4 linked regions of the Danio rerio genome follow. The protein of the gene in region 4 purifies or fractionates together with the protein of the main gene of each other region. This does not show direct contact. Links are inferred from orthologs where the notes say so. Each region holds a gene or a part of one and is shown on either strand. Other genes may lie near its edges.

Region 1 (7,324 bases), on a different chromosome or scaffold from region 4:
AAACACATCTGTTTGTTATTATCAAGTGCTGCTTTAGGTACTATTAATTGGTTCAGGTGTGTTTGATCAGGGTTGGGACTGAATTCTGCAGGAGGGTAGCTTTCCAGGAACAGGGTTGGTGACCCCTGGTTTAGAGCAAAAAAAGTCTTCCAAGTGTATCCCAATAATTCATTGTATGACAGCTTAACTTTAAAATTTATTACAAGAAAGAACAGAAGTTGAAGTTTCCCGCTCATGTTATTGTTGACCGATGTTTATGAAGGTTGGAGCAGGAGAAGGTGAGTCTGCAGAAGAAACTAAAGGGTAGAGGAGTGACCGCTGACCAGGTTGTTGGCGCACGAACTCTTGAGGCTGACAAAGAGATTGAAGAGCTTCACAAAAGGAATGCTGAACTGGAGCAGCAAATCAAAGTGATGAAGTGAGTTTTGCCTAGCAATCATTCCATTCTTCCCATTTGTGTCTAAGTTCAAATACATCAAATTTGTCAGCGTTATTCTGAGTAATGTTTAAAATTGATGGTTTTATAGGCAGCAGCAGGCTTTACCCCGTGATGCTGCGATGGAGGATATCACCATCAGAAACCGTTATCTTGAGGAGAGACTTTACTCAATGGAGAGTCGGCTATCTAAAGAGCCTCCATCCAGACCCTCTGTAGGTGCAACTTTTCAAATATTGTGCCATCATGAATTTCATCTCATTAACTTCACTTTCAGACTTCCTTTCATATCTGTTTCTTTCTCCATTCCTTCTGTTTTAACTCTGATAATAAAGGACAGACATTCAACATCACCATCTCAGCTTAGTTGGTCCTCAAAAGTTCGTTCTATGACTTTTGATGTAATCGAAGCTGAACAAACTCAGTCCTCATTATTAAATAGCACAGTTGTTGTAACTGAAAAGGAAATATCTGTTATAGAGGACAAACCAACTCAAACTTCCTTCAGAAGTATAGATATGGGCACAGCAGAAGTGAACCAAGATGATGAAAATGTAGCAAAGAATGAAGTGGATCTGGAACAAAAAGCTCTGATGAAGGATGACAAAACTGAGCAGAAAGAAAACAATAAAGAAAAAGGATCTGTTGAGAAAGACGAAGAGCAACCAGATGACACTCAAAGAGGGCAAGATGTAGCAGTTTTTGAATATGCTCAGGAAGAACTGAAGACTAATGATGAGGCAGAACAGCTTGAGTCAGAACTGACACATCGAGAGATGATGGAAAAACCTTTGGATGAAGATCAGCTGGAAGTTGAAAATGAAGAGACAAATGCAGAAGAAATGTTATACAGCACTATGAATCAAGCAGAGCTAGAGACACCAAAGGTTCTTCTTGAGGGTGATGAAGATTATGGGCAAGAGCCTGAAGAACTTTTGAAATGTGAATGTGATCCATCTGCCGAATCTAAAGAGCTTGACGAAGAAGAAACAGCTCTCAGCAATTCAACCACATTTGATGCCAAACTTGTCTCTGAACAACCAGCAATGGAGAAAAACAAGTCGTTTACTCCTGAAGCAGGTTTTAACCCTAATTTAAGTGAAGTTTCCCCTAGTAGAGAATTGAATGCAAACACTGAAAATGACATTCTTGGACATTTAAAAGCAAAGGTCACCAGGCTTAATGACAAAGAACATTCAATGAAAAGCAAAGCTCGAAAGGTACTTGAAGCATAGGTGTTCCCTCAGAGCTTCCAGCTTTCTCCACCCCATAACAGTGTTGGTTTTGAGTTTGTGTTGTTGTATTTAAAGACCTGCAGTGTCTGCTTTGCTGTTGTCCTTTAGTGCTTGCATTGCTCCCTCTCCTGTCTGCATCTAAAATATCTTTGTGGTTTGGGTATCGTTTAGCTGTGTGTTGTCAATAACTCTTTGTTGTTTCTACAGACATCTGGTCGAGGTTCTGATACCCCATCCCAAAGAGAGCATGAGTTCCAAAAGGAGAATCTCAGGTTGTCTACAGAAAACCTGGAGCTTCGTTTCCAACTGGAGCAAGCAAACAAAGACCTGCCTCGATTAAAAGTACTGTGAAATCTCTGTTATTAATAGCATGACTCTACTAACATGGACGGGGTATTTAGATGTTTACAAAGACTTTATAGATATGTTATAGAGATGCTGCTAAAAGATGATACACTGCAATTTAGATTGCATAATTACTGTAATAAAATTTAAGTTTTAAAGGTGCCATTGCATAGATTGATTCTCTGTTATCTACAAAACATGTATGTTGCTTAACTAAATTTAGAAATTCTTGAGAAACAATGTAAATGCTCATTTTATTAACCACAGAATTTAGCCCCTTAATGAAAAAGCATGATATTGACCATGTATAGAATGGTTGTTAATATTAATGAGCTCTGCTCTGACACATACACACACAGCATGATGTATTCTGAAATACACACGTGCAAAATAATCATACTTCATTAGTCAATAAAATATTTTTACAAATTGAGTAAATGCCTTGTTAACAATCTATTCAACTGAAGTGGTAGAGAGGTTTGGTGTAGCTGGATGGATGGAGTGATCTGTCTTTATGTCAACAGAAAGCATAATTTGCTCCTGAGTTGTATTTTGGATGACAAAAGAGATTTTGAAGCTTTTTTGTATTTTAAAGCTTTAACGTATTTGAAAACATAAACAGGAGTTAGTTTCAACCTCTGCATGAACAGATCTATTCACACAAGAAAATTACATTAAGAGCTGAGTGATCGCACAATGCATAAACTTGCATTAATCACTCAGCAGTTTAAAAATGTTTGTTGCTTCATTACAAACAAACACAGAAAACTATAAATATACACATTAAACTAGCAAAATATACTTTAAATAGACCTTATTGCTCTTTGAAGTTTCACTGAATACATTTATAATCCGTATATCCTGCATTTTGCTATCTGACGAGCTGTGAGCACTTATACATGGTCTTACATGGCTGACTACTTCACAAAACTGCTCCTTTTTAGTCTCCCCACCTCTAAACGTATGCACTAAACTTAAAAAATAAGGAAATTTATAATTGTTTTAATCTCACTAGGAAACATGGCCATTCAAATGCAGCTTGGGACCATGTAATACGAATATTTTAATGATTAATGATTTTAGACTTTTGAGATCTACATGAGAATGAGGACTCAATTGGGTTCGGGGCTCTGAATACATAATTTTCATATACTGTTGTCTTAATATTCAGCTATGCCTAGGTATTTCGAGATTTTCATTCTGTGACACTTTATTCCCACACTACTCTGAATGACTATACCCATCCCCCACCCCCCTCCTTTTTTTTAATTACTGTAAAAATGTATTTTAATTAAACCTGCATTGTTTAACCTAAATGGTTAATCTACATTACATAATCTATTGTTTTTACCTTCCCACCCATTATAATGGCAGGATCAGGTGTCTGACCTCAAAGAGATGTGCAGTGTTTTGAAGAAGGAGAAAGCTGAAGTGGAGAAGAGACTCAGTCATCTTCGTGGGGTCGGTACAGTAGCAGAACTTCTGAGATCTGGAAACTGTTTAATTTTCAACTCCCATTAATGTATGCTCCTCTCATACAGTCCGGCCGCAGTGGGAAAACCATACCTGAGCTAGAGAAGACCATTGGACTGATGAAGAAGGTTGTGGAGAAAGTTCAGAGAGAGAATGAGAACTTAAAAAAGACATCTGAGGTCAACGTGCAGGAGCAACTTGCCACGCTGGAACGAGACCATGAGAAACTTAAGGTATATTTTGTGAACCTGTTAATATTGTGTGACATTTAAAAATCAGATATTATTAAAAATTAAAGACAGTATGTACAGTGTGGCAAAAAAGTATTTAGTCAGCCACCAATTGTGCAAGTTCTCCCACTTAAAAAAAACGAGTGGGGCCTGTAATTTTAATAATTAGTATACCTCATCTTTGAGAGACAAAATAAGAAAGAAAATCAAAAAAAATTACATTGTAGGATTTCTTTATGAATGAATTATTAAGTTCATCTGTTAAATAAGTATTTGGTCACCTACAAACAAGCAAGATTTCTGCCTCTCACAGACCTGTAACTTCTTCAAGAGGCTCCTCTGTCCTCCATTCGTTACCTGCATTAATTATCAGTATAAAAAACACTTGTCCACAACCTGTCACACTCCAAACTTCACCAGAAAGACATCATAAACAAAATTGTAGACCTGCACCAGACTGAATCTACAAAAGGTAAGGAGCTTGGTGTGAAGAAATGAACTGTGGGAGCACTTATTAGAAATCGAAAGACATAAAAGACCACTGATAATCTCCCTCAATCTGGGGCTCCATGCAAGATCTCAGCTCATGCCGTCAAAATGATCACAAGGACCTAGTGAATGACCTGCAGAGAGCTGGGACCAAAGTAACAAAGGCTACCATCAGTAACACACTGCGCCGCCAGGGACTCAAATCCTGCTTAAGCCAGTACATGACAAGGCTGTCTGAACTTTGCTAGAGAGCATTTGGATGAACCACAAGAGGATTTGGAGAATGGCTTATGTATGTATGTATGTATGGTCAGATGAAACCAAAATAACTTTTTGGTAAAAACTCAACTTGTTTGGAGGAGAAAGAATGCTGAGTTGTATCCAAAGAACACCATACCTACTGTGAAGCATGTGGGTGGAAACATGCCTTGGTGTTGTTTTTCTGCAAAGAGACCAGGATGACTGATCCGAGTGAAAGAAAGAATAAATGGGTCCACACACCGTGAGATTTTTAGTTAGAACCTCTTCCATGAGCAAGGATATTGACGATGAAACATGGCTGGGTCTTTCAGCATAACAGCGATTCTAAACATCAACCGGACAATGAAGGAGTGGCTTTGTAAGAAGGTCCGGGAGTGGCCCAGCTTGTCTTCAGATCTCCAGATCTAATAAGCTCTTAAAAAATCTTACATTTTGCAAAATCTTAGATTTTCTGGATTATTTTTTTCTCATTTTGTCTCCCATAGTTGAGGTATATGCATGATGAAAATTACAGGCCTCTTACCTTTTAAGAGGTAGAATGTGGACAATTGGTGGCTGACTAAATACTTTTTTCCCCACTGCACATTTACCAGACACTTTTATGCAAAGTGACCAACAAATAAGGATAAAAGGAGAACTTCAAATAAGCTAAAAAAGCAATATATAAATGCTTTAAAATCAAAATCCAGTCCTTTTAAGACCTTGTTATAAGAAAATGTCTGGTGCATATGGAGAGGAAGAGTGTCTCCTACAAGTGGTTTGTCAAACCCAATCACCTGTGTAATACACATTCAGAACTGCATAATATTTCTCCATGTTTGTTATTCTTATGACCGTTTGTTTTGATTAATATGCCATGTCAATCTATTCAGAAAGAAGTTAGTTTTTACTATAGGCTGTTTTCTAAAATGTCAAGGACTGGAACAAGTCAGAAAAAAAACACCTATCTATATGTGGGAAGCTAGTTAGCCTCCCAAAAAGTCATGTAACACAGAGAAATCAGCCAGCAACATTTACAGCCAAGCACCTTAAATTGTGAACTGTTAAATTGTTAAATTATGTTGCATATCAGTGAAGCTGTTCAGTTGTTATGTTTTTGTTACCGCCATGGGCCTCATCTCTCAATTTTGTCAATTTTATTTATCTTCTGTACTAATATGCAGCTCTTTTCTCTTTTTTTGCTACAGTCAGAATATGAAAAGCTAAAAGGAAAACAAGAGGAACAGCTGAACTCAAGACTCGAGTCAAAAACTAAGGGCATTGAGAAAATCATGATGGAAAATGAACGCTTACGAAAAGAAATTAAAAAGGTTTTTTATTTTTTCCTCAAATAAGTAAATTTTTTAGATATGATCTCAATATCTAAGGTTGTGTTTACACAAAAACAGTGTTACAAAAAAATGGCAAACTTTTCCTTATGGTTTTTTTTAACATTTCATTCAAAACAACAGCATTTATTCAAACTGGTCTGCAATAAAAAAGCTGTAATATGAATGCACAGCCAGAACAATATTTTAAAAATGATTATGTTTGTACTGATCAAGAAAATAATGCTGTAATATGGATGCAAGCTAGTAGATGGTGCATATAAGGTCATGAAGTAGAGTAGAGAATAGTAGAGAATAGAATAGACATATAATACACATTTTTGTCATTTTCATTGAGACAATAATGGTTAAGTTGTCACGAACTTGCACTTTAAAATATAACCTGTTTTCAAGGCCCACAAAACAACCAAAGTACAAAAAAAAAAACATTTTCAAATTTTTGTTGAAAAAATTTACATAATTTTTGTGTATACATCCCTAAAAGATACTTTTTTGGCATACATCCCTAAAAGATACTTTTTTGGCAATGTCTTCATTGAGATGTAATAAAAGTGTGAAAATACAATACAACACAATTGTATTGACATCTTAGGATTGAAATCTTTTTTATAAAAAAAAAAAAGAAAGAAGGGGGTAAAGGGCACAAGTTGTTTTAATTAGTAACAGCTTATGATAACATATCTATGAAAACATATATAATATACATATAATAACAGAAATAAAGATACATGTTTTGTGGCAAATTGCAGGAAGCAGAAGCTGCAGAAAAGCTGAGGGTTGCAAAAGCCAGCCTTGAAGTAGCCAATGAGAAGCTAAAGGCGGAGCTTGAGGAGACTCATCAGAGGCTGTTATTAGCACAGTCGAAGGGGGCGACTTTACTGGGGGTGGACAGCAAGACCTGGAAATCTTCAGTTGTGACCAGGTAGAACATTTACTTGAATGCTTCATCAATTTTATCATCATGTAAGTTAATGATTCGTTTTTCCTCAACAGGTTATTCGAAAACAAGATGAAAGGTCTTGAAAGTGACATCGCTAAGAAGAACATTAGCATATCAGAACTAAAGGTGCAGCTAAAAGAGGCAAATGAGAAGCTGCAGGCCACACAGCACACCGTCATCCAGCTGAAGGAACAGGTGAGATGCTGATGTCCTAGTAAAATGACCAAATTCAATGTATATGACTGTACAGTAAGGGTTCCAATGCACAACATGACTAGATTTCACAGAAAATTCAGCAACAGCAAAGACTGTTTCTGGACTGAGCCAATAGAAAGTCTACTGAAGGACAAGCAAACAAAGTTTGGTAACACTATAGTTACAATAAGTAACAATTTACATCATTTACTACCGGCTTATTGCTTACCTATTAGGAACTGTTTATTAGTACTAATGAAGTATGATCTTATTTTACGTCTCTAATCCTACCAATACCTAAACCCAACTACCTTTACTATTAATAAGCAGCTAATTAGTAATTATTGAGCTAAAAGTCTTAGTTATTGATTTGTTAATAGTGCAAATTGTAC
Region 2 (8,036 bases), on a different chromosome or scaffold from region 4:
GGGTTTATTAAAGGTCCACAGAGGAGCCAGATAACCCACAGGGCAGGAGAAAACAATCAACATTATACACACAAACACACGAACACACACACACACACACACACACACACACGCACACACACACACACTGCAGGAACACGGAGAGCGCCATCTAGCGGCATTCGGAGTATCAACATCAGCTCAGTGTTTATAACATATACTGTGTATTTCTGCACACTGAATAATCCACATGAGGGAACAATAATGTGTTAGACCAGTGGTTCTCAAATTGTTTTCATTAAGTTCCACCTCAGAAAAAAATAGTCTCTCCAAGTACCACCAAAATGAGCAGTATTGAAATACAGTAGTGTAGTAGGCCCAGTAAAGCAGCTACAACTCTGCACAGTTAAAAAAATGTGGCAAAATACCTCAGAAATATAGGCTGTATGTCATGTATGGCATACTATATACATCATTTTTGATAAATTTGGAAATATATGTAGCATGTACATGCCATATTGCATCCCTCCACGTACCACTAGAAGGAAGCCCGCGTACCACTAGTGGTATACGTACCACAGTTTGAGAACCACTGTGTTAGACCAATCTTCCTGATGGAAATAAACACACACACACACACACACACACACACACACACACACACACACACACACACACACACACACACACACACAGCGGTGAAGGAAATTAAAACTTTATTTACAAAAATGATTTGTAAAACATCTGACATACAAAACACTCAACTGAAGACTGCTGCAGCACATGCCGAGCGCGCTCACACACACACACACACACACACACACACACACACACACTGAAGCCTGCTAAACTCTCTGCGGGGTTGAACTGCAGCAGATGACCAACACATTGACATTACTCCACGGCGGCGTCTTCATCTACAGCTGCAGGCTGTGAAGGAGAGATGTGCACCAGTAAGTGCACTCAGACAGCATCAGCACTTCTTAGGGAGCCTCCGTCAGCAGCACTGAAGAGAACTGGCAGAAAACTGATGTTTAATCATACACGACTGCTGACGAGGGCAGAGACCTTCAACATCCCATAATGCCTCGGTGCGGTCAGGTCAGAGGTCAGAGGTCGTGTGCGGCGCGCTCCTCCTCGTCCTGCTGCTGGACGGAGCTCAGGTACTGCTCCAGCAGACTGCAGTTCTGCGCGTCTCCAGAGGCGGCGCTGCTGTTCACACACGGAGAACCGCACTCCGGCACCGAGAGATCAGCGTGTGTGTGTGTGTCAGTGCTACTGTCTGCAGGAGTGTGTGCTGCGCTGTCGGCAGGAGTGTGTGTCTTGTTGAGCGCAGGAGTGTGTGTTGTGTTAAGCCGCTGGTCCACAGACGCCTGCCACTGCAACAACACCTGCAGCTGGAGAAGCAGATGTTCAGCGTGTGTGTGTGTTTATGTGAGTGTGTGTGTGTGTGTGTGTGTTTATGTGTGTGTGTGTGTGTGTGTGTGAGTGTGTGTGTGTGTGTGTGTGTGTCTGTGTGTGTTTATGTGTGTGTGTGTGTGTGTGTGAGTGTGTGTGTGTGTGTGTGTGTCTGTGTGTGTTTATGTGTGTGTGAGTGTGTGTGTGTGTGTGTCTGTGTGTGTTTATGTGTGTGTTTTTCACTGACCTGTTTCCACAGAACCTTCACTGCTTCTTCTTGAACACGTCTCTGCAGTCGCTCTTCTTCTTGCTGCCGGCGGACCCTGAAACAAAGCAGTCACACACACACACACTCTTCAGTTCACGCTGTGCTTGATCTCAACTAGAGTCATCTTCAATTCTCGGAGCAGAGATGAGCCGACCTCTGACCTCTAGCGCTCTTCATTCCACTTTACCTCACAAGTACACACACACACACACACACACACACACACACACACACACACACACACACACACACACACAAACAGTTCACCTGTCCAGCTGTGTGCTCAGGTGTATGATGTGGTCCTGCATCCTCCGCATGCGTATCTCTGCACGCACCGCTCTGGCCTGCGGGTGGCGCTGGCGAGTCCACTGGCCCCTCCACCAGCTCTGGATCCTCACGGCGGCGTCCTGCGGCTCACACTGCTGATGCTCTGAGGACACGCCCCCACACACTGGCTCCTCCCCTGGGGCACGGTGCTGAGTGGATGTGGGAGGAGCCAGAGAGTCCTCAAACTCCTCCTCTCCGCTGTCAGGAGCTGAAGCCGGAGGAGCGGCAGATTCAGACGCCAGCGGCCCCGGGGCCTCCAGATCCTGCAGGAGCAGCCCGTCTGCAGCCACAGCGGGGGGAGGAGCGGAGGGGGGAGGAGCGGCCAAGGGTGGAGACACAGAGTCCATCCACGCGTTCACCCGAACTGCAGGCTCCACATCTGCACCACACACACACACACACACACACACACACACACACACACACACACACACACACACACACACACACAAACATCAGCAGAACACACACACACACACACACACACACACAAACATCAGCAGAACACACACACACACACACACACACACACACACACACACAAACATCAGCAGAACACACACACACACACACACACGCACTCATCTGTACTGTGCTTTACCACTGGGAATAGGAAACACACCAGCACAGAAACCCGCATCTTACACACAGCAGCCTGAGCGATTACATCATCACCTTCATCCTCCTCATCTTCATCAGGTGTGCTCTGGTGGAGCTGCTGCACGTCCAGGTGTGTGGGGCGAGAGGGAGTCTGGTGATGTGTATGCTGCAGCTGATTCTGATGATGCCTGCACACACACACACACACACACACACACACACACACACACACACACAGTGAGCGGTGCTGCTATGAGCGGTGCCGGTGCTGCTGGTCTGGACTCTACCGTTGTTTGTTGAGGATCTTCTCCAGTTTGGCGTCCTCTGCTGGGGGCTGCCGGGCGGCGGCGGGACACGTGCGGGACAGATACTGCAGCAGCTGAGTGTGCTCGCCCGGACGAAACACTCGCCCTCTGCCCTGACTGTACAGCCACTCCGCCTTCAGCCTGCACACACACACACACACACACACACACACGCACACACACATGCGCGCACACACACGCACGCGCGCACACACACGCGCGCGCACACACACGCACGCACACACATACACACACGCAAGCACGCACACACGCGCGCACACACATGCACGCACACACACACACACACACAAACACACACACACACACGCGCACACGCACACACATGCACGCACACACACACACACACACGCGCACACGCACACACACACGCACACACATGCACACACATGCACGCACACGCACAGATCAGAAACTGCAGCACGTCATCACAGCATGAACACTGAATAATGAGCACTCTTCCTCCTCCTCCTCGAGCTCCACTCACCCTTCCTTCTGTGTGACGGCGACTCCATCTAGCAGCTCCAGGCCGAGGCACCAGCTGAGCACATATGGCCGATAATCACACACAGCGGAGGACACACACGACACACACGGGTTACTGAGGAGGGAGAGCTGCTGCAGACCCCGCACCGGAGCCAGATAGCAGACCTGCACACACACACACACACACACACACACACATCAGGACAGATCTGCATCCTCAGCTGTGCAGCGAGGTCAGGTCAGACATCTGCCTACACTCACATGCAGAACCGCACAGGAGGAGGCAGTGTGAGCCTGAATGTGTGTGTGTGTTTGTGTGTGTGTGTGTGTGTGTACCTCAGTCAGGTCCCGGATCTCGTTCTCCGCCAGCGACAGCACTCTCAGGTGTGCCGGCAGGTGAGCAGGAGCCGAGCGCAGTGTGGTGATGATGTTTCCGTGCAGGAGCAGCGTCTGCAGTGTGTGTGAGCAGGATATTACTGTACACTCATCATCATCCTCATCATCATCATCATTCAGAGCGGCGGCGGACTCACCTGCAGCGCCGAGAGCCTGGACACGTCTCCGATCTGCGAGATATTATTATCAGACAGGTCGAGGTGCTGCAGGGAGACGCAGTGGTGTAGCTGCTCCATCACCTGCACAAACAGCAGAGCAGGAGTGTGTGTGTGTGTGTGACCGTATGCTCAGGTGAACTCCGCTGCAGACACACACTCACCTTGATGTTGTTCCCGGCCAGGTTGAGGCGCTCCAGCTGCTGCAGCTCCTTCAGGCCCTCGATGCAGCCGATGCTGTTATTCTGCAGGTCCAGGACCCGCAGCTGCGTGAGTCTGCAGACGTTCATCATGCGCACCAGACGGTTACAGGCCACCGACAGCTGAACACACACACACACACGTACATCACTGCGAGCACAGCTGAACACACACACTGTTTTCAAAATCACATCACCCCCTGTACCCTTACTCACTACAGTAGTGCACTTAGAGGAGTGAGTGAAGTGAGTGTGTGGTGGAGCACTACTGAGTGCACTAAGAGTGTGTCGTGTTTGCTGAATCCTCACATTCTATCTTCATCTTCTCCATCAGACGCTGCTATAGTTCATCAAACACACACACACACACACACACACACACACACACACACACACCTGCTGCAGGTCGGGGTTGTGCTCCAGGTGCTCCAGCTTCATCAGCTGGTTCTGATCCAGGATCAGGGTGTGTGTGTGTGAATCCGGGCGGAACAGCTGAGGCTCCAGCCGCTGCAGACCCCGAGCCGACAGGTCTAAAACCCCCGGACCTGAAAGAGAACAGCGCAGAATAAACACGGCTGTGGAGTATTGATCACTACAGCGATCAGGAAGATCATCGATCACACATCAGTAACACACACACACACACACCAAGCCAATAAACGCTTTCCCGCAGGTGTGTGGAGAGCAGCGGATCAGTGATCAGTGAATGACGGAGTTTACACACACAAACACACAAACACACACACACGGCGGAACCCCACACGCCCCGTTAAACTCGGTAATCCGCACACATCGCCGGTCTGCAGAAAAACACTGCGGTTTAAAGTCTCCGCTTAGTCAAACTCGTGGATTATTGCAATATTATTGGCTGATATTGCCGTACCTCTGTGATTCGGCATCTGCAGCACCGGATCCGCCATCCCCGCTCCGGTCGCCGCCATACTTCCCGCTTGTGTCACCGCCAGGCAACCGAGCGCAGATTTCATTGGATGATTTAATCTGAAAATATTTATATTTTTGGATATTTTTACAGAATAGTAGGGTTCATTCCTATGTCAAATATATGTTTACTTCAAAAAAATATTTTACTTTAACGAAACGGGCTCCTTTATAAACCGCTTACCCACAATTCCTCTTCCTCTTCCCCGTCTGAACCGCCGCCATGAAGTGAGTGTATTCTGTGTTCATCCCCAAACATCTGCAATATAACCTCACAGATGCGCCGATTAAAGTGTTTATGAGTTATTAATGTTCGCGGCGTGTCTGTAATGACGCTCATTTGTGCTCTGCAGGGTCGAGCTGTGCAGTTTTAGCGGATACAAAATCTATCCCGGTCACGGCCGGCGATACGCCAGGATTGACGGAAAGGTAAAGCCGAGTTACTCCGACACCAGCAGCTCACTAATATCATCCTCATTATTATTATTAATATTGTCATTATTATTATGTGAATATTCGTATTCATCAGGGTAGTTCGATACTGTTGGCTAACTACAGTTAGCGATGGGTTAGTAATGGCGAGCCCCGCTGCTAATGCTAACACAGACACTGGGTTACTCTGGCTAATTTAGCGTCATTATGAGTTCAGCATGATGGGTTACTTTACTGTTCTAGAGTTATATTAGGGTTCGGGTTTGCTGAAGACTGTTGCCGATCAGCTGTGTGTGTACACACACACACACACACACACACACAAATGTATGTCTACATATCTGTGTGTGTGTAAGAGAATTAGTGGTACGCGTTGTTATTAATATAAGAGCATCTCCTCCTCTTCCTCCTCCTGCTGCTGATGGTGAAGTGCTGAATCCCGCATGCTCTGGCTGATGTGTTCAGGAACTCCTCCAGTGTTTTGGCTGAGCGCTGTAGATTGTGTGTTAGGGCTGATCGATTATGGGAAAAATCATAATCATGATTATTTTGGTCATAATTATAATCACGACTATTCAAAACGATTTTCAGTTCAAAATTATTCGCACTTCTGTTAATTTATTATATATAAATATTTACCAAATTATGTTTAACGGAGGAATTTTGACAGGATTTTCTATAATATTTCTCCTGGAAAGGCTTATTTGTTTTATTTTGGCTAGGATAAAATCAGGTTTGAATATTTTTAAACCTTTTTTAAAAGCTCAATATTATTATCCCCCTTAGGCAATATATATATATATATTTGATTGTCCTCCTGTTATACAATGAGTTGCCTGTTTACCCGAGTGAAGCCTTTGAATGTCACTTTAAGCTGAATACTAGTGTCCTGAAAAATGTCAAGTAAAATAATTATGTGTCTGTCAAAGAGAAAAGAAACGCTGTCACTTTAAGATCAGTGCGGCTCTGATATGGTTTCTCTCACATGTTTTGATTATTACACAAATGAGGGTTAATATGAATAATCACTAAACACTGCGCTCTGACACAAATGTGCATGTGTTTGACCATTAAAGCGCTCTCGTTAAGATGACGTTAGATGTGCGTGTGTGCTCTCCTGTCCGAGGCTACACAAACACACCCACACACACACACACACACTACCTGTCCGAGGCTAAGCGCTGTGCACACACACAACAGCACATGCTCTTTCGCGATTTTAATAGCTGAGCTGTACGTGTCTGCAGAGGGCCGTTTAGCATGGAGCGCTTCAGCACAGGTCACTGGGGTCCATGTGTGATTATTGATTATTGATTATGTTGCTGTGTTCTGATGGAGATGCTCTTCTACTGCAGGTTTTCCAGTTCCTCAATGCCAAATGTGAGTCTGCGTTTCTGTCCAAGAGGAACCCGAGGCAGATCAACTGGACCGTTCTGTACCGCCGCAAGCACAAGAAGGGCCAGTCTGTGAGTTCATTAACATTATTCACCGGGCACATGTGCACGGGGGGTGTATAGTCTCAGACAGAGTGCATTATGGGTAGTGTAGTCCAGGAGTGGAGAAGAGTGTGTTTCCTCCTGTGTACATTTACATTACATCATAGATTTATGGAGATATACTGCAGCTGAGGAGAACATGAAGCCAGCATAGCAGATATCAGCATGATCAACCGCTGCTGTTCTCGTCTCCACTGAATCATGCAGAGAGTGTTTTACTGCGAGTGAAGGGCGACGTGTACTCCTGTGAGGAGGCTGAGGGCTGCAGACGTCATGTGCTGGAGATATGGAGCAGACCCCACTGCTCTAATGAAGTACACTGACCTGTGTGTGTGTGTGTGTGTTGTGCTCTTCAGGAGGAGGTGTCGAAGAAGCGCACACGTCGTGCAGTAAAGTTCCAGCGGGCGATCACCGGCGCTTCTCTGGCCGAGATTCTGGCCAAGAGGAACCAGAAGCCTGAAGTGCGTAAAGCCCAGCGCGAGCAGGCCATCAGGTGAGACACACACACACACACACACACACACACACACTCTCTCTTCATTCAGTGGTCATGCTTGATGCTAGTTGTAGTGGTGCTCCTGTCACCATGGAAATCTCCAAACTAAGGCTGTGCAATTAATCGAAAATCTGATTTTGATTTTGGCTTGTAACGATTATGAAAAGCCGTGAATCGAGATAAACGATTATTCCATCACGTACCGCACCCTTTCCAGTTGTACAAGTGTGAAAACTCTTTGCCTCTGCAAAGCTCAGTTCCATGTGAAAATGACTGAAAGATGTGCTGTACTGTAACTTGTGCAGCACGGGATGCGCATCATTCACATTTTTAAAAGCGCAAAAGGGTACGTGCTATTGTGTGTGCGCTGTGCTTAACCTCAGATAGCTAGCGTGTGTGTGTTTGCGTACGTGCCGCGCTTAGCCTCGGACAGCAGAGCACACACATCTAATGCGATCTTAATGCGAGCGCTTTAATGGTGAAACACATGCACACTTGTGTCAGAGCGCGGTGTTTAGTGATTATTCATATTAACCCTCAT
Region 3 (7,759 bases), on a different chromosome or scaffold from region 4:
TAAACCACACTGAACTGAACTAAACTGAACTTCAACTCTGAAAACTGGACTGACAGTTTTAATTTACTTGAACTTCTATGTTAAGCTGCTTATACACAATCTACATTGGAAAAGCGCTATAGAAATAAACATGAATTGAATTAAATTGAACAGTAATTTTTTAGAGTAATTAGGCAAGTCATTGTCTAACAGTGGTTTGTTTTGTAGAGAATCGAAAAAGTATTCCTTAAGAGGGGTAATAATATCAACAGGGTGTCTGCGGGGTCTTAAAAAGCAAAAGTGTAGGCCTTAAAAAGTATTTAATTCACTGAAATTTTGTGTTGTAGGTCTTAAAACATTTTTAACAGGTCTTAATTTTCCTCTGTCCAAGTAAAGCTACCCAATAAGTCCAACATCCATCTAATCACCAATAATATAATATAAGTTTTATTATTGCATAGAGATACAATCGACAACAGAAATTTTTACAGCAAATTGTCAAAATGTAATTCTCTAATCAGGGAAAGAAACCTAAAAACAATTATTACATTCCACATGATAATAACAGAGCTATATGTCCCTTTACATGATTTTCCAGTTACACAAAAACTATGTACAAAAGTAAGGGGAAGCAGACGTAATATTCATAAACAGGCAAGGAATAGGCAAGGTTTTATATAGCCGAAAATTATTGGGTTGAATAGAAGTTATACTCAATCCATTCAGACAAATAGCCACAAATATATATTTTTGATCATTCATGTAATTGTGTCCGTAATAAATAAACTATTAACAATGGTTAAACTTGTCTTTTAAAAATAAATAACAATAAAAAAATAAAAAGTATGTACAACTAGAGTTTTCTTGTTTTGACAAATTCAAATAAGCAACAACAACCAGACCATTACAAAAAAAAACTTTAGTGTTTAGCCCTGTATAAGTCTAAAAATTTCATTCAAAACGGTCTTAAAAGGGTCTTAAAAAGTCTTAAATTTGACTTGTTGAAACCTGCAGAAAGCCTGTATTAACCTTAAATGTTTTTTAAGAAATTAAAAACTGTTTTTATTATAGCCGAAATAACAAAAGTCTTTCTCCAGTAGAAAAAAAATGTTCAAGGAAATATTGTAAAAACTGTAAAAGTTCTTGCTCTGTTAAATATAATTTGGGAAATGTTTGAAGAAGAAAAAATTCACTGGAGGGTGAATAATTTTGACTTTAACTATACATTTATGTGCAGTTTTTGATTGGCACTGAGTGTTAAACAATAGTATACAATAAAATCATTTACCTCTATATAACTCTATGCTTTATTAATGTTATTTGTCATCATTTGTAGTGATCAGATTTTTAGTTGTTCTCTTTAACAAACTTTGTCTTTATGTTTTTATTTAAGTTTTCAATCTGCTGGTAAATCTGGGAGAAATGTTTACGTACCCCAGTTTAATTTCCCTGGGAATTCTCTTGACAATCCCAGCAAGTGCAGGTATTTTTCATGGAAATAAATTGACAAGTAAACATTTTAATTATCTTGCTAAACACAAAGAGAACATCATTTATTGTCTGATAATTGAATATAGCGCTTTCTTCTCTTTCTCATAAGCTGTGGATGGCTTAGTGACGTTAACTCTGCAGATCAGCCATGTGCGAGCAGCGGCCGCCGGCATCATCTCAGCTGGATATCTGATGCTGCAGCTTCCAGAAAACTGGGATGAGAGCACTTTCCGCTGGCTCAGCGCACTGTGGCGTGGAAACTGGCGAGAGGACAGTATTGTTGGAGAGGAATCTATGGTGGACACTGCTGGGACTTTACGAACAAAAGCCAAACCAGCCGTAGTGACTCTCTAGCTGAGCCTTAAAAATGCAGGATTTTTTTGGCTTCATTAAATCCTTGAAGAAAACAAAGACTTTTCAATGTTCTTTGGATTTTAACCTGTCCTTCTAAGATATGAATGGTTTATTTAGGAACTGTTCCTAGTATGTTTTTAATGGTTTTACCATATTTGAATACTTTGTTGAAACCTACATGAGTGCTGGTGACTTATAAAATATTTTTAAATATTTTTTTTTTATAAAATCTGTAGGAATGAAGTTTTAATATTATCCAATTTCTGAGTACTGGGTTGTGGCTGGAAGGGCATCTGCTGCGTAAAACACACTGGAATAGTTGACAGTTCATTCCGCTGTGGCGACCCCTGATAAATACAGGGATTAAGCCGAAGGAAAGTGAATGAAGGAACATTATCAGTTTTGAAGTCTCCAACCTTAATCCCTCTAGTGCTGTTCAAATTTGCATGAACGTTTGTGCTAATACCTTTGAAACTGTAAGAACTAATAAAAATGTAATTATTGTCTCCTCTAATTTCTTGGCTTCAAAGCATAGTTCACCTAAAAATGAGAAGTCTGTCATCATTTACTCTCCCTTCACTTGTTTAAACCTGTTTAATATGAGAAATTGCAATGATTTGTGTAGTAAGACACTATGGAATTTGCTTGCTGTGGAAGTCAATGGCTACGGGTTTTTAGTTTTCTTCAAAATTACTTATTTTGTTGTCAAGAAACTCAGAAAGGTTTATAACCACTTGAGGATAAGTAAATACTAAATAGTGAGGACAATTAGATTTTTGCAACGAATTAAGAAAAGTTATCATTCGTCATATGTTTTCAGTCATTTTGTATTTTTCCATTAATAAACCCTCTTCTGTGGGCTCATAAGGTAGTGAAGTGTCCATCATGTGCGAACTTCTTAGTATTCTCATCTGTCAACTGGTTTGGGTGTAATACTATAGCACACATACCGTTTTTCACATACGGTAATATAGCTGACAAAGCTAATGCTATTTGTCCACAACTGTTGTGTGTTAACCATAACCAGTGATGATTTGCACAGTTTGAGCCCTGATGAAAATCCCAAACTTTACTTTTTCTCACCATAAGACTGTGTGAACTACACATTTCCAAACCATGCTGGCAACACCAACACCTGAGGCTGTATCTTTGCAAGACTGACAACGCCACACTACACTAGTTTGGTAACAGCATCACCTATTGGTCAAAGTAAACTATGAAATCAAAGTGATTTTCTTTATTCACATTAACTATGTATTAATTAGGCTAATATTAACCTGATGCAGTGATGGTAATGTTTAAAAATAAATTATAGAGTTGTGCAGAAGGAGTGATTTTATTGTTTAGGAGCCTTTTGAATTTTTTTCAAAATCCACTTTCATTATAAAATGTTATTTTCTGCATTGTTAAGACCCCAGATGTCTAGGGCTAGAGAGAGGCGTAACTGCATATTATCAGTTAAACAAATCAAGCAGGTAGTTAGAATATTTAGTTGACTGGAAACCAAGAGATAGTGAAGAACATTCTTTATTTTCCAGCATAAACTATGTATTTTTTTATGTGTCTAAATCCAGATTTTTTTTTCCGAACGAAACAAATAATCCTGAGATTTTCAGAATGAAGGGGAAAAAACTGAGCAATAGGACCTACATTCAGCTCGCTAGATGGCGCCAGTCAGTTTTCATAGCACCTTCCACATTTCACCGCTGAAGTTTCGAGCAGGAAACGTTATCTGTGTTGTGAGGCGGCTGATGAAGAAAGCATGGCCCTTAACGCAGGTAAAATGTCAATAAACTCACATTTAGACAAATCTCTTGTTAAACTCCCCAATTTAGTACCGAAATAACCCTTAATCACTAACCTCCAGTCGTGCTATAGTAACGTTAGTACACGTGCAGCTGCGCTAAAATAACATCATGTTACGTTAGCAGGTTAGCCCCTCACTGTCTGCATTTCTGTACTGGCATGTGGCTTTTATTTCATTTAAAATATCGAGCTTTCTCTGTGTCTTTGCCTATTATTGACTCGTAAAGTTCCACGTACAGGAATCGCACGGGTGCTGAAAATACTTTAAATGCTGGAATTTTACTCTTGTGTTTCAAGGTTTAAAATGTACTTAGATTATGGATAAAGTACTTTAAAATGCGATTGTTCCTTTCATAATAATTTATCTTACTAAGCTGGTAATAATAGTATGAATAAATTAATTATAATAAAGATATGTAAATGGATGACAGCATAACTAAATGTTGGGGTTGGATCAAACCTGCTATCACATATTTTCCTTTTATTAAAGCTAAAAAAATAAAATTAAAAACGAAATTTTTCACATAGTATATTAATTATACTATAATTTACTGTACTATACTCTAGAATAGCTTCTGATATAATGTGATGAAGTGTTTTTTTTTTTTTTTTGCATATAGCACAAATTTAATTAACAACTACAGAACAGAGCACAAATAATAATCAAATCAATAAGATTATAATATAAATAAATACAACTTTAAACAGAATAGACACACAAACACATTCAAAAAAGAACTACCTGGTCGTCTATTAATTAAAATGTTTTCAATAAACTGAACTTCCTAATTTTGATTTTACCAACTTTAAAGCTTTACAGTATAACCAAAATTCCTTTTGGAAAACCCAAAACAGTGGTTTTGTTTTCAGGCACTTGCATTTATGAACATAAAATTTCTCCAAAATTAGAATATTGTTCAATACAACTTGAATATTAATATCTTCCCCTAATAAACCAAAGATAATATCATTTTTAGAAAATTGGGAGGACATCTTGAGAGAAACTTTTAACCACTCAAATGAATTTGTCTAGAAGGTTCTGCTGTATAAACAGTCAAAAATAAATATACAGTCTCTGCAGATGGTTAAATATCATTGAATATTTTAAAGTGTACTTCTTTAGCTTTGAGGAGGTATGGGGAAGGAAAGGAACATATTCCCTAATTCGATAATAGAGCTTATTATCTGAATACACTCTGAATAAAATCTTCTCCATTCATCAGCAAATAAGGTACGTCATTTTTATTGGGGGCCACAGTACTAACCATTATTACAAATGCCTTCAGAATAGATTTCAATACCCTATTGAATTGCTTATGATCACATTCAAAGTTATATTTTTCACAAAAATTTCCAGTAACTCAGAACCTCACCCTCTTTGTTTAATAGATGGACACTCAACCAAATACCTCTCTCCCACCAATCTTTATAGAAAGGATTTTTTTCTAAATATAATTAATGTGATGAGGTGTGCAGACGTATGTAAATATGTAATTTTCCACACTTTATAAAGTACTGAAAAAGTTTTAAAACACCTGGAAAGTGCTTAAGTGGGTGTGTGAATTAAATGAGCATTCGTCCATAAACAAGAGCATTCTGTGTGTGTTTTCCTGAATCCAGATGATGAAGACTTTGAATGGGAGCCTCCCTCTGAAGCAGAGATGAAGGTGATTCAGGCTCGCCGGGAGCGGCAGGATAAGATCAGCAAGCTGATGGGAGACTATCTGCTGAAGGGGTACAAGATGCTGGGCGAGTGCTGTGAGCTGTGCGGGGTGAGAGAAAACACCATACACTCATAGGAGACTCCAATCAAATCTGTGTTTTATTTAGTGCAATACAAGCTAGAGCCTTAATTTAATTATTAAATATGCAGTGAGGTACTGTGTTGTTAAGTTGTAGCCATGTTTGAATATTAAAACTTGCGATAATGACAAAAGATGACGTGCAATATTTTCAGTTCAGAATGTCTGAAAGTTTAATAATGTTTTTAATTAGTTTAGTTTATTTATTTACAAAGCGTAATAAAAAAAAAATTTTTAAGTTGTTGACCATTGTGCTGTACAAACCTAAAAGCAAATGATCAAAAATAGACAGCAACAAGTAAAACAACATAGAATACATCCAACATACCACACAGCATCATAGATACATAACAAGCGACCAGATAGGTACAATAGGATTAATTTTCTCCCAATTTAAAAGCTATTTCAAGGAGGTGTAGTTTAAGTTTCCCTCTGAACAAAGATTCAATAGAAACTTTTCTAATGGACGAAGGTAGCCTGTTCCACACTTTAGGACTTACTACAGAGAAAGCTCAATCTTCTTTTTTTATTCAATTTGGATCTGGGAACTACTAGCATTTTCTGGTTCGATGACCTTAAACATATGGCAGATATTTGAACTAATAAGATTAGAGAGATAAGTCAGAGCCTGGCCTTTTAATACCTTAAAAACAGACATTAAAATTTTAAACTCAATTCTAGGTCACAATTTAGGAAACACGGGATAGGAGTAATGTGTTCAAACCTGCGTGTACCAGTAAGAAGCCTTTTAAAAAGCCTTTCACTTTGGCTGATAATCTCAGCTGAAAAAAACCAAGATTTAACTACTGCATCTACCTGTGTGTCAAATAAGAGGACAGAATCTAGGATAAAACTTTGATTTCTTAAAGATGGTTTAATGCAGTCTGCAAAATTGATTCATTTGATTCAGCTTTCCCGAGCCAGCAGTTGGGATGCATTTTAACTTGATCAAAATTGAGAGCTTTGAGACTTTTATAAAGTTTACAGTTGCAAATAAACACTGTACTCTGTTTATTCATCATGAAGCTATAAAATACAATGTGTTTCATGGATGTCCGAAAATAACTGAACAAAAAAATGAAAATAACTGAACGAAAATAACCTGTTTTTAATAATCCCGTCACATTTCCACTTTGTTTCTTTTTAAAGGCACTGAATAAATGCATGTTCGCCTCTTTTGAATGATGAATCAACATTTTACAAACCTGCCTCAATATTGCTGGGCGATATGGTAAAAATACAATATCAATTAATTATTTTCCACATTAAACAATAATGATATACATGTGTATATATATATATTTTGATTTCAGTTGTTATTGCTTCTGGATTTAAGAGTATCCCAACAATGACTAAAGCCCCAAAAATAAGAGGGTACATTAAATAGCATAACCTGGACGTAAATTTGGTGCATCCCTAATATCAACACAATGGCTAATCAGCACTGCTTAAAAACACGCTCAACTGTTAACGGGAAGTGTGCGTTTTCAGTATCAATTGGTACCTGATTGGCTCTTAGATTATATAGAGTAAAAAAGTAAAAGTAAAAAAAGTCATTGTTATTGACAAAAATGTTATCGCCATACGATATAATATCGTTTATGCCTTAACATTATAATGTTTACCTTGTTTTAAGACTGAAGTCTTAATGGCCCACATCTAGTATTTTTGCATTTATCTGCAGTGCCTTTCTGTAATTCAGCTGTTTTGCTTTTGTATTTTTACAAGGTCTCGTCTGACAACAATTTTTTTTTGAGTATCCAACATCTATAAATCAATCAATTTTAGAAAAAAAGACATTTAAATGAAAAATTACAATGATTTTCATGTTTAATCAGTAAAAAATACTGTTACTTTTAGTTAAAACTATGCAGTAAGGCAATATCTAATGGTACACAAACAACAAAAATAGTATTAAATATTGAATATTTACGGAATATTGAGTAGAGGCGGGGCTCTCTTTTTGCACAACATTTTTTCATAGGAAACTAACAGTAAGGGGGGGCGTGGCTAAAAATATTGTGACTGAAGCTGTCAAACTGACATCAACAGAGCCGGACCGCCACTCCAAAAGCAGATGCAGACTACCAAAGCAAAAATCATTAGCATGGATTCATTGTTCACCTAAAGAATAACAAAATAATCATTGTACATTTTTTCTCACAGACTTTAATTGTTATTACTTATTACAGTGTTTAAAGCAAAACAAAACTTCCATCTATTTGCAGACGATTCTGCTGCAAGATAAGCAGAAGAAAAATTACTGTGTTGCTTGTCAAGAGCTGGACTCCGATGTTGACAAGGACAACCCAGGTACATTCAAATCC
Region 4 (7,807 bases):
GCTTATTTACTGTAGTCTGTTAATCTTATTAAATTATATACAATATTATATTTCACTCCCCTATCAATCAATTTAAAGTAACTTTGCAAATAGATTTGTTTAAGTCTTCTGGTGAAATTGTATTTATATTGCAATATATACTACAGAGAAAAAAATATTGCAATGTTAAATTTTTCCAATATCGTGCAGCCGGTTTTAGGTACTAATATGTACCCTGAAGGTTCTTGGATGAAGCATTTAAGTACAAAAATGTAATATTTGAAAAGGTATCATCTAGGGCTACACAATATATCATTTGAGCATCGAAATCACAATATGTCAGATTTTTCCAATATCGTGAAGCCCTGGTACCATCAGTGACAGCTTTATAACTTTATTTTTGAGGGTGTATTACAGTTCAGACTCCGAGATAATCTGCTGGCTGTAATGTTGATGTAAAGCTAACAACCACTATATTATGAAAGAATATGTGTATACTACAGACATTTGCTTTCATGTTTTGTTCTACAACATTAGTTAAAAACACTTCAAGCTAATTTAAAAACAAGTGTTTATTAAAAGCATAAGCAGCTAATATCACAAGAAAACTGGAAGATCATGTTCATAAACCGAATTCTTGCATAAATACCTATTATTAAGTCTCTAGGCTTTCTTCTAATAAAACTAAGAAATAAAAAGGTGATGTTTTATAAAAAACATGGAGGCGGTTCATTTCACTGTGGCAACCCCTAATAAAGTGGAATAAGTAGAAGGAATGTGAGTGAGTAAGATGGAAAGGTACTTATCTATACTTCTAATAACAGATAAACATAAACTGCAAGTAGGAAATACTAATAAACAATGAGTGTGCATTATTCTCCAGTAATTCAAGCCATTAAAGTCAGTTAATCCACTAATAATACTAAAACAAATTGCAAGAAATTTGTTCAGATTGTTCAGAGGTTGCGTTTCAAGACAGCTGTTAGGTTTTATCTTAAAATGCACATTTGCAGGACTAATTGCGTATGCATCTCGTCCCAATTCCTGCACTGGCAATTTCAAAAATGCCATTTTAGAGCTGGAATATGAGGCTTGAGCCACTGATAGCAGACTAATGCAGTTATTAGAGAAAGAGCGAGAAAGATTCATGTAAATTGCCATATACTGTATGTGCCTTTTAAAGGAGTCTGGAGTGTCTGCTTCAAAAGCAGCACTTTACAGTATTTCACATCGATTCAACAGAGCAGCAGTAAAAAACTATTTTTATGAGTCTGTGTCCCTACTGTATACGTGCGTTTGTGTGGAGAGCAATAGAAAGAGTTTTTCATTGATAATTAAATGTAATTTTGTGACAAAACCAGAAATAATCTGTCATTATTATACTAATAAAAATTTTGAGATGTAAACAAAAACAACAGTCCCAACGTATTTCCCGTATTACATTTTTAATTTCTATAGCTTCAGAAAATTCAAAAAGAGCCGCATATTGATAAATAATGTTATGAGAGCTGTTTTAACATTAAGTTTTAATTTAATTGCCTCTTGTTACAGTTATGAAGTAGTTTGATAACAAGCAGGAAATGTTCATGGGCCAATGACATCACCACGTTGAAATAGTCTATTGATTAATATATATACTAGTATATATATGCTTGGTTTGCTGTTGCAGGCTGTAATGACCTTTGAAAAAAACTTAAATCCTTTGATGAAGTGATTTATAAAGAATAATGTGTGAAAAAGAATGATGACAGTCCACTGAGTTATTAGACAATTATGCACAACCAGGGTTGAGATGCTGTTACACCTCAAGCATGAATTACTTTCCTAATAATTAAACAGGCCAGAGTCAATTATTAAGCTTCTACAGTTACCACACCTACAGAATTACTTCAACACATTTGACAGTTTTTTGTCCTAAAACTGCTCATGAAGGACTAGTTTAAATGAGTATCATCCAAGCCTCTGTTGGTAATCCAAAAATGTCATTTTAGATCTAGTAAGGGACATTTAAGTAACTGCTAGCAGGCTAATGCAGTTACTAATATTAATACAGTTATTAATATAGTTATGGTAGGGAGAAATTTGGTGTGAATTATGTTATAATAATTCGGGTGGGGGGGGGGGGGGGGTTGGGGGGGGGGGGGGGTGGGGATATAAATATATCATTGTAAATATACTGATTATTTTTGCTGTTATTACTGTGTTATCCTAAAATTTTAATTGTTAAATGTACAGTTTGTTCTGATCAATTACTATTTTTATTGTTATAAATATAAATTATATGATGTATTGAATAATAATGTGATATACTGAACAATAATATGATATATTGAATAATATGATATATTACATTGTTTTAATTTGATTATTATATATATATATATATATATATATATATATATATATATATATATATATATATATATATATATATATATATATATATATATATATATATATATATATACTTTTTTTAGTACTACTACTACTGTTTAGTGTTTTTATTAGACATGCATGTTCTTTTATTTTTATGTAAACTTTATAACTGCTTTGGCAATACATTTGTAACATTTGTCATGCCAATAAAGCAATTGTTGAATTGAATTGAGAGGTAAGGAAAAAGAGAGTAGCTAGTTAAAAAAAAATTACATTTTGTTGCAAAAACGACAACAATCAACTTTTAAAACGACTGTTCAGCATATTAACTTTGTTAGTGTATATAGTTTTTTTGCCCGTTGTAATCAAACTAGGGCTGGGAGATATGGCAAAAATGCAGTCTCAATAATTTATTCATTTTCTTTACGGCTTAGTCCCTTTATTAATCTGGGGTCGATACAGCGGAATGAACCGCCAACTTATCCAGCATATGTTTTACACAGCAGATACACTTCCAGCAACAACCTAACAATAGGAAACAGCCATGCACTCTTACATTCACACTCATACACTCCAGACAATTTAGCTTACACAATTCACCTGTACCGCATATCTTAGGAATGTGGGGGAAACCCACATGAATACAGGGAGAACATACAAATTCCACACAGAAATGCCAACTGACCCAGCCGGGGCTCTAACCAGCGACCTTCTTTCTGTAAGGCGATTGTGCTACCCACAGCACAACTGTGATGCTCACAATCTTGATAATTATTTTCCATATTGATCGATAACAATATATATTTCAATATCAGTAGTTAATGAATCTAATCTAATCTAATGCTTCCAGATTTAAAACAGTACCCCAACAATGACTGAGGCTACAAAGATTAGTGTCAAATAAATGCCATAACATATTTTTGGCTGATAAATTTTCGGTAGGTGAAAATTTGGTACATCTCTAATATCAACACACTTTAAGATTCCTATTGTTGCACATTTCTGCTGTGTGATTGTCTCTTAGATCAATATAAAGTAAAGAAAGTCCAGAGCATATCATTGTTATTATTGACATAAATTTTATTGCAATTCCATATAATATTGTTTATCAAAAACAAAATTAAACTGTTATTAAACTGTAACAAATCTTTAGAATTACCTAAAATGTTTAGTGCAGTGATATGAAACTGTAATGAAATCAGGATTTATTGTAAATATTTTAAACCGTTTCTTCAAAAATAACAGCACACCTAGGTCCGGACATCCATTAACAAATCTGAATGTAGCATTCAAGAACACCATACAATCAAAAATATTACTTTTGCAAGCTTGTTCAAGCTAGCTTATTTAAAATGAGTTGAAACAACAGAATTCTTATGTTTTTGGAACAACCTAATTGTTTTACGTTCAAGCCACTTAAATTTCTAAAAACGATTACGCTAACTTAATCAATTTTTTTGTTCATGAAGGAATTATGTGAAACCCAGCATTTTTACAGTATAGCATGTGGAACTGCAATGCACTCAATACCTGCTTGGAACTACTTCAGTTATATGTTGTTGTTTTTAATAACTACACACCTTAGAACACTTATCAACCAATCAGAATCAGGCATTCAACAACCCTCTGCTACAGTAATACATGCAATTCAGCGTTGTCCGCTTCTTAAGAGGCCTGAAACAACGTTCCCAGTTCCACTTGTTCTCATTAAACATTCTCGATTTGATTTGGTCAGTTCTATATATCTAAACTATTCATTTGAATAAATACCTCAGTGACTCATCATAACACTAAAAGACAGTCACGGGATGTAACCTGCAGAAGGGGTCACAGGACCAATCGATTACCGAATTCAAGAGAATCGATTCACCGGACTGTACCAAACCGTGTTTACATGACCTTCCGAGCGAACATACAGGCTAATATTTCCCCAAATACGCTGTGCATAACTAGACAGCTGTGAACAGAGCAGATTCGTCTTGTTAACCCCATGACAGTCCAGTAATAGCAAGGCAGGAGAGCATCCAAACATCAACAGCTCTGCCACTGACAAACCATGACAGATCACCGCAAACCCGCAGCACACGCACATCACGAATCATCCACACACCTAAACACCCCGCATGACCTCTGAATGAGCTCTGTCAGAGCCTCGTGCCTCAGTAATGAACCACTGCAGACGATCTGACAGACTCCCACCCTTTTCTCCATTTCTCCCTCTCTCCCTCCCTCTCTCTGGTGGGACATGCTTGTTTACCTTCTTGTCGATGCGGACAGTGAAGACATCGCGGTCCCTCAGCGGCTCCCGACTGAGGACCAGGCCGTGATTGAATTCCTGTACCGGCTGATTCCGTTGAGCGGTTCGGTTGGAGTTCGACAAACCGATCAGTTTTCCGCTGCGCGGATGCAGCTCAGCCGCCATCTTCGCACGGGCGGCGCGGTGCACGACACCGAGCGTAGTTTTGCGACAGTGGGGAGACGGTTGTAGGTAGTTCGCGATTGGCTATGGGTATATTGCTAGTGGTATGTATCATAGACATAACCAGACTTAATATATCAGCCTCAACTTGATAAATGTGTACATGCTCAGAGGTATCAGTAAAGACAATTCTTATATGCAGTTGTAAATGAAATGCTGCTAACGGGCAAGGGTCGAAACTGGATGAATGTGCTGTAGGTAATATGTAAATATATGCACACATGCTCATTATGTATTGAACAACACTCACACGAGATCTCAGCTTCAATTACAAAATATCTGAACTTAAAGGCCTTAATTCGATCTTCATGAAATTATAGAACATTTAAAAGGACTTAAATAAGATAAGAAAGTGTTACATTTATATGCACTGCCACAACAACTAAATGTGAAAATGACTTTCTGTTTAAATAGATTGTGTCCATTAGCAAATATTTGTTTGTTATCATTTTGGTAAAATTAAGTCATTAAGATCTATAAGTACTTGTATTTGTATAGTGTAAAATTATTCGTACTTAATGTTTTAAATTCACCTTCATAAAATGTGCAGAAATAATTGTAGAGTGTACATTTATATAAAAATGTCTGATATTTATTTTTAAAAAGCTGCCAGTGTTTTAAAATTGTGAACTGTACTACCTTTGTGTGAAATATTCTCTAGATGGCAGTATTTTACAGCTAAACTGACCTAAACTGATGAATGCATCCACAGTATGTTGTCAATTAACAGGGGAATTATATTTGTTTCAGGTTTACTAAATTCTTTCCTCTTCAATAAATATTAATTCTAATTAATATTTCTCTATATTAATTCTAATTAATACGTCTCTAATAAACTGCTTTACTTAATGAAAAAATTTCTGACTTATAACTAGGGCCAGACAGAATCTGTGGACATTTTCAAAAAAAAATTTGACATATGGGGTATGTGAAAGTTTCACATACACAAAGTAACAAAGTAAAAGTAGTAATGTCAATTATTCCCTTCTTGCTCTGTTAAGATTTAAAAATATTTTATAATTTTTTGACCTCAGTTACAAGAAACAAGAAGGCTATAAAACATCTCTAATAATGAAAAAAAATCTATACAATCTAATCATTTAAATATTATGGTTTCCCCTATATAGTTGAAGTCAAAATTATTAGCCCCCCTTTGATTTATATATATATATATATATATATATATATATATATATATATATTTCATAAATTATGTTTAACAGAGCATGGAAATTTTCACAGTATGTCTAATAATATTTTAATAATATAATTTTTTTTTTCTAATTTGTTTTATTTCAGCTAGAACAGAAGCAGCTTTTATTTAAAAAAAAATTAAGGTCAAAATTATTAGCCCCTTTAAGCAGTTTCTTTTCTGAGTCTACAGTTTAATACAGTCTATTACCCTAACCTGCCTAGTTAACCTAATTAACCTAGTTAAGTCTTTAAATGTCACTTTAAGCTGTATTGAAAAGATTTTTTTCAACACATTTCTAAACATAATAGTTTTAATAACTCATCTCTTATAACTGATTTATTTTATCTTTGCCATGATGACATGAAAATGAAATTCTTTGTAGTCAATAAAGGTATATATTTAAAAGCAAGAAATATGAATAAATGTATATTTTGATTAGCTATTGCATGTATTATATATGGCATGTTGTATCTGAACAAAAAGACAATCTAAGTTATTGCAATTAATTTAAATATAATTAAAAGATACTTTGTGTGCTTTTGAAAATGCTGCAGAAATGTCAGATGTGCGAGTAGGATACATTTAATACAAAAGCACAATTGCTATCAAATTATGTAAGTTAACTGTGAAAGTGATGACCCATTCCATTGCAAAACAAAGGAGTAGCATCGAAAATAATATTTATGCACGTAACCTGCACATTTGATTGCAGCTGATTTATTTTGTTCTCTAAAATATGGTCATTAAAAAAAACATTTGCTTTTATATGTGTTTGCAAACACATTTCAGAAGAATTTTCATTACAGTGTTTAATGTTCTGTCGTTTTTAAACATATTTTAATGCTCAGTGTAACATAATTGACATTTAATACTTTTTATATTGTTTATTAATACATTTTGGAGGTTATAATGACTGACTAAAAATTTAGCAGTTTTAAATAGCCCTTCCTGATTTGATCAAGAGTTGAGCCTGTCGGGATGATTGTGTTAAATCTCTACAAAGTGAGTTCATTCATTGCTTCTGTAGGACAGCTGTGGGACGACACCGCTGTGTGTTTGTACGCTGCCCGATCAAGATCAATGACCTGACCCTGGACAACGATTTTCTCCAGACACCCACGCAGGTATGGATTACTTTTTGCCACCTCGCTGTCACCTAAAAAAAAGAGAGAGTTCATGGACTCAATTGAAAAAGGTAGGATTTGTTAAATAGACTCCCTGCACTAAGCTGACAAATAAAGAATTTAACAATGACCAATGCGGATGTTGCTGATGGAGTAGTTTATCACGGAAATTCGTGCTCACTTTACCTGGCACTCCCCCAAATGTCAGGAGCATCCCATTTTTCCACATGGAGAGAAAGTCCAGAGTTTCCGATTTAACCTTTGGTTTGCTGTTTACCACAAGTGAATTTTTCAGTATAGTGAAAGTAAGTGTTGCAGGTTCACTGGGAAATTCGGTTGATCCATCTTTCAGGCCCAACTGTGAAAAAGGGTGTACAAAAATGTTGTGTGTTTAAAGCTATAACTGAGCAATTCCATGCAAATGTCAATCTTGCAATAAAATAAACTAAACTTCACCAAAATACAGAAAGTTTTTTGTGGAAGCAAATATTTTATAGTACTTTAGAAATACTCAAAAATGTCAAACTATTATATTGGATTTACTGAAGTCACACAAGTGGCAATTTCACATCCATAACGACACTTTTTCCTCATAAATGCAAAAGTCTTAAGTAAAATAAAACCAATATTTTTTGTTCTATAAACCAACGTTTA

The links.
Region 1: the proteins of neurl4 (region 4) and cep290 purify together in Homo sapiens (affinity purification with mass spectrometry; 3 studies listed by BioGRID and IntAct, with this or other methods). This does not show direct contact. The link is inferred for Danio rerio from reciprocal best matches to the Homo sapiens genes NEURL4 and CEP290.
Region 2: the proteins of neurl4 (region 4) and cep97 purify together in Homo sapiens (affinity purification with western blotting; 4 studies listed by BioGRID and IntAct, with this or other methods). This does not show direct contact. The link is inferred for Danio rerio from reciprocal best matches to the Homo sapiens genes NEURL4 and CEP97.
Region 3: the proteins of neurl4 (region 4) and znrd2 purify together in Homo sapiens (co-immunoprecipitation; 4 studies listed by BioGRID and IntAct, with this or other methods). This does not show direct contact. The link is inferred for Danio rerio from reciprocal best matches to the Homo sapiens genes NEURL4 and ZNRD2.

The regions. Positions count from the first base shown.
Region 1 is NC_133200.1:18,915,002-18,922,325, reverse strand, and holds part of cep290 (centrosomal protein of 290 kDa), read left to right. Parts: intron 1-262; coding exon 263-418; intron 419-527; coding exon 528-651; intron 652-771; coding exon 772-1,656; intron 1,657-1,878; coding exon 1,879-2,013; intron 2,014-3,390; coding exon 3,391-3,477; intron 3,478-3,557; coding exon 3,558-3,722; intron 3,723-5,656; coding exon 5,657-5,779; intron 5,780-6,546; coding exon 6,547-6,719; intron 6,720-6,790; coding exon 6,791-6,932; intron 6,933-7,324. UniProt on the Homo sapiens protein: Involved in early and late steps in cilia formation. Its association with CCP110 is required for inhibition of primary cilia formation by CCP110.
Region 2 is NC_133176.1:199,429-207,464, reverse strand, and holds cep97 (centrosomal protein of 97 kDa), read right to left. Parts: upstream 5,084-8,036; 5' UTR 5,074-5,083; coding exon 5,016-5,073; intron 4,678-5,015; coding exon 4,529-4,677; intron 4,256-4,528; coding exon 4,097-4,255; intron 4,017-4,096; coding exon 3,915-4,016; intron 3,832-3,914; coding exon 3,718-3,831; intron 3,547-3,717; coding exon 3,383-3,546; intron 3,019-3,382; coding exon 2,860-3,018; intron 2,761-2,859; coding exon 2,648-2,760; coding exon of another isoform or gene 2,618-2,647; exon of another isoform or gene 2,595-2,617; intron 2,352-2,594; coding exon 1,913-2,351; intron 1,701-1,912; coding exon 1,625-1,700; intron 1,377-1,624; coding exon 1,089-1,376; 3' UTR 679-1,088; downstream 1-678. Other genes in the region: rpl24 (large ribosomal subunit protein eL24), read left to right, coding at 5,295-5,299, 5,425-5,500, 6,859-6,969, 7,356-7,492. UniProt on the Homo sapiens protein: Acts as a key negative regulator of ciliogenesis in collaboration with CCP110 by capping the mother centriole thereby preventing cilia formation. Required for recruitment of CCP110 to the centrosome.
Region 3 is NC_133185.1:31,773,082-31,780,840, forward strand, and holds the start of znrd2 (protein ZNRD2), read left to right. Parts: upstream 1-3,517; 5' UTR 3,518-3,586; coding exon 3,587-3,602; intron 3,603-5,250; coding exon 5,251-5,402; intron 5,403-7,660; coding exon 7,661-7,745; intron 7,746-7,759. Other genes in the region: solute carrier family 35 member F4, read left to right, coding at 1,373-1,462, 1,580-1,824. UniProt on the Homo sapiens protein: Might play a role in mitosis. Antigenic molecule. Could be a centromere-associated protein. May induce anti-centromere antibodies.
Region 4 is NC_133187.1:24,243,507-24,251,313, forward strand, and holds the start of neurl4 (neuralized-like protein 4), read right to left. Parts: upstream 4,805-7,807; 5' UTR 4,778-4,804; coding exon 4,613-4,777; intron 1-4,612. UniProt on the Homo sapiens protein: Promotes CCP110 ubiquitination and proteasome-dependent degradation. By counteracting accumulation of CP110, maintains normal centriolar homeostasis and preventing formation of ectopic microtubular organizing centers.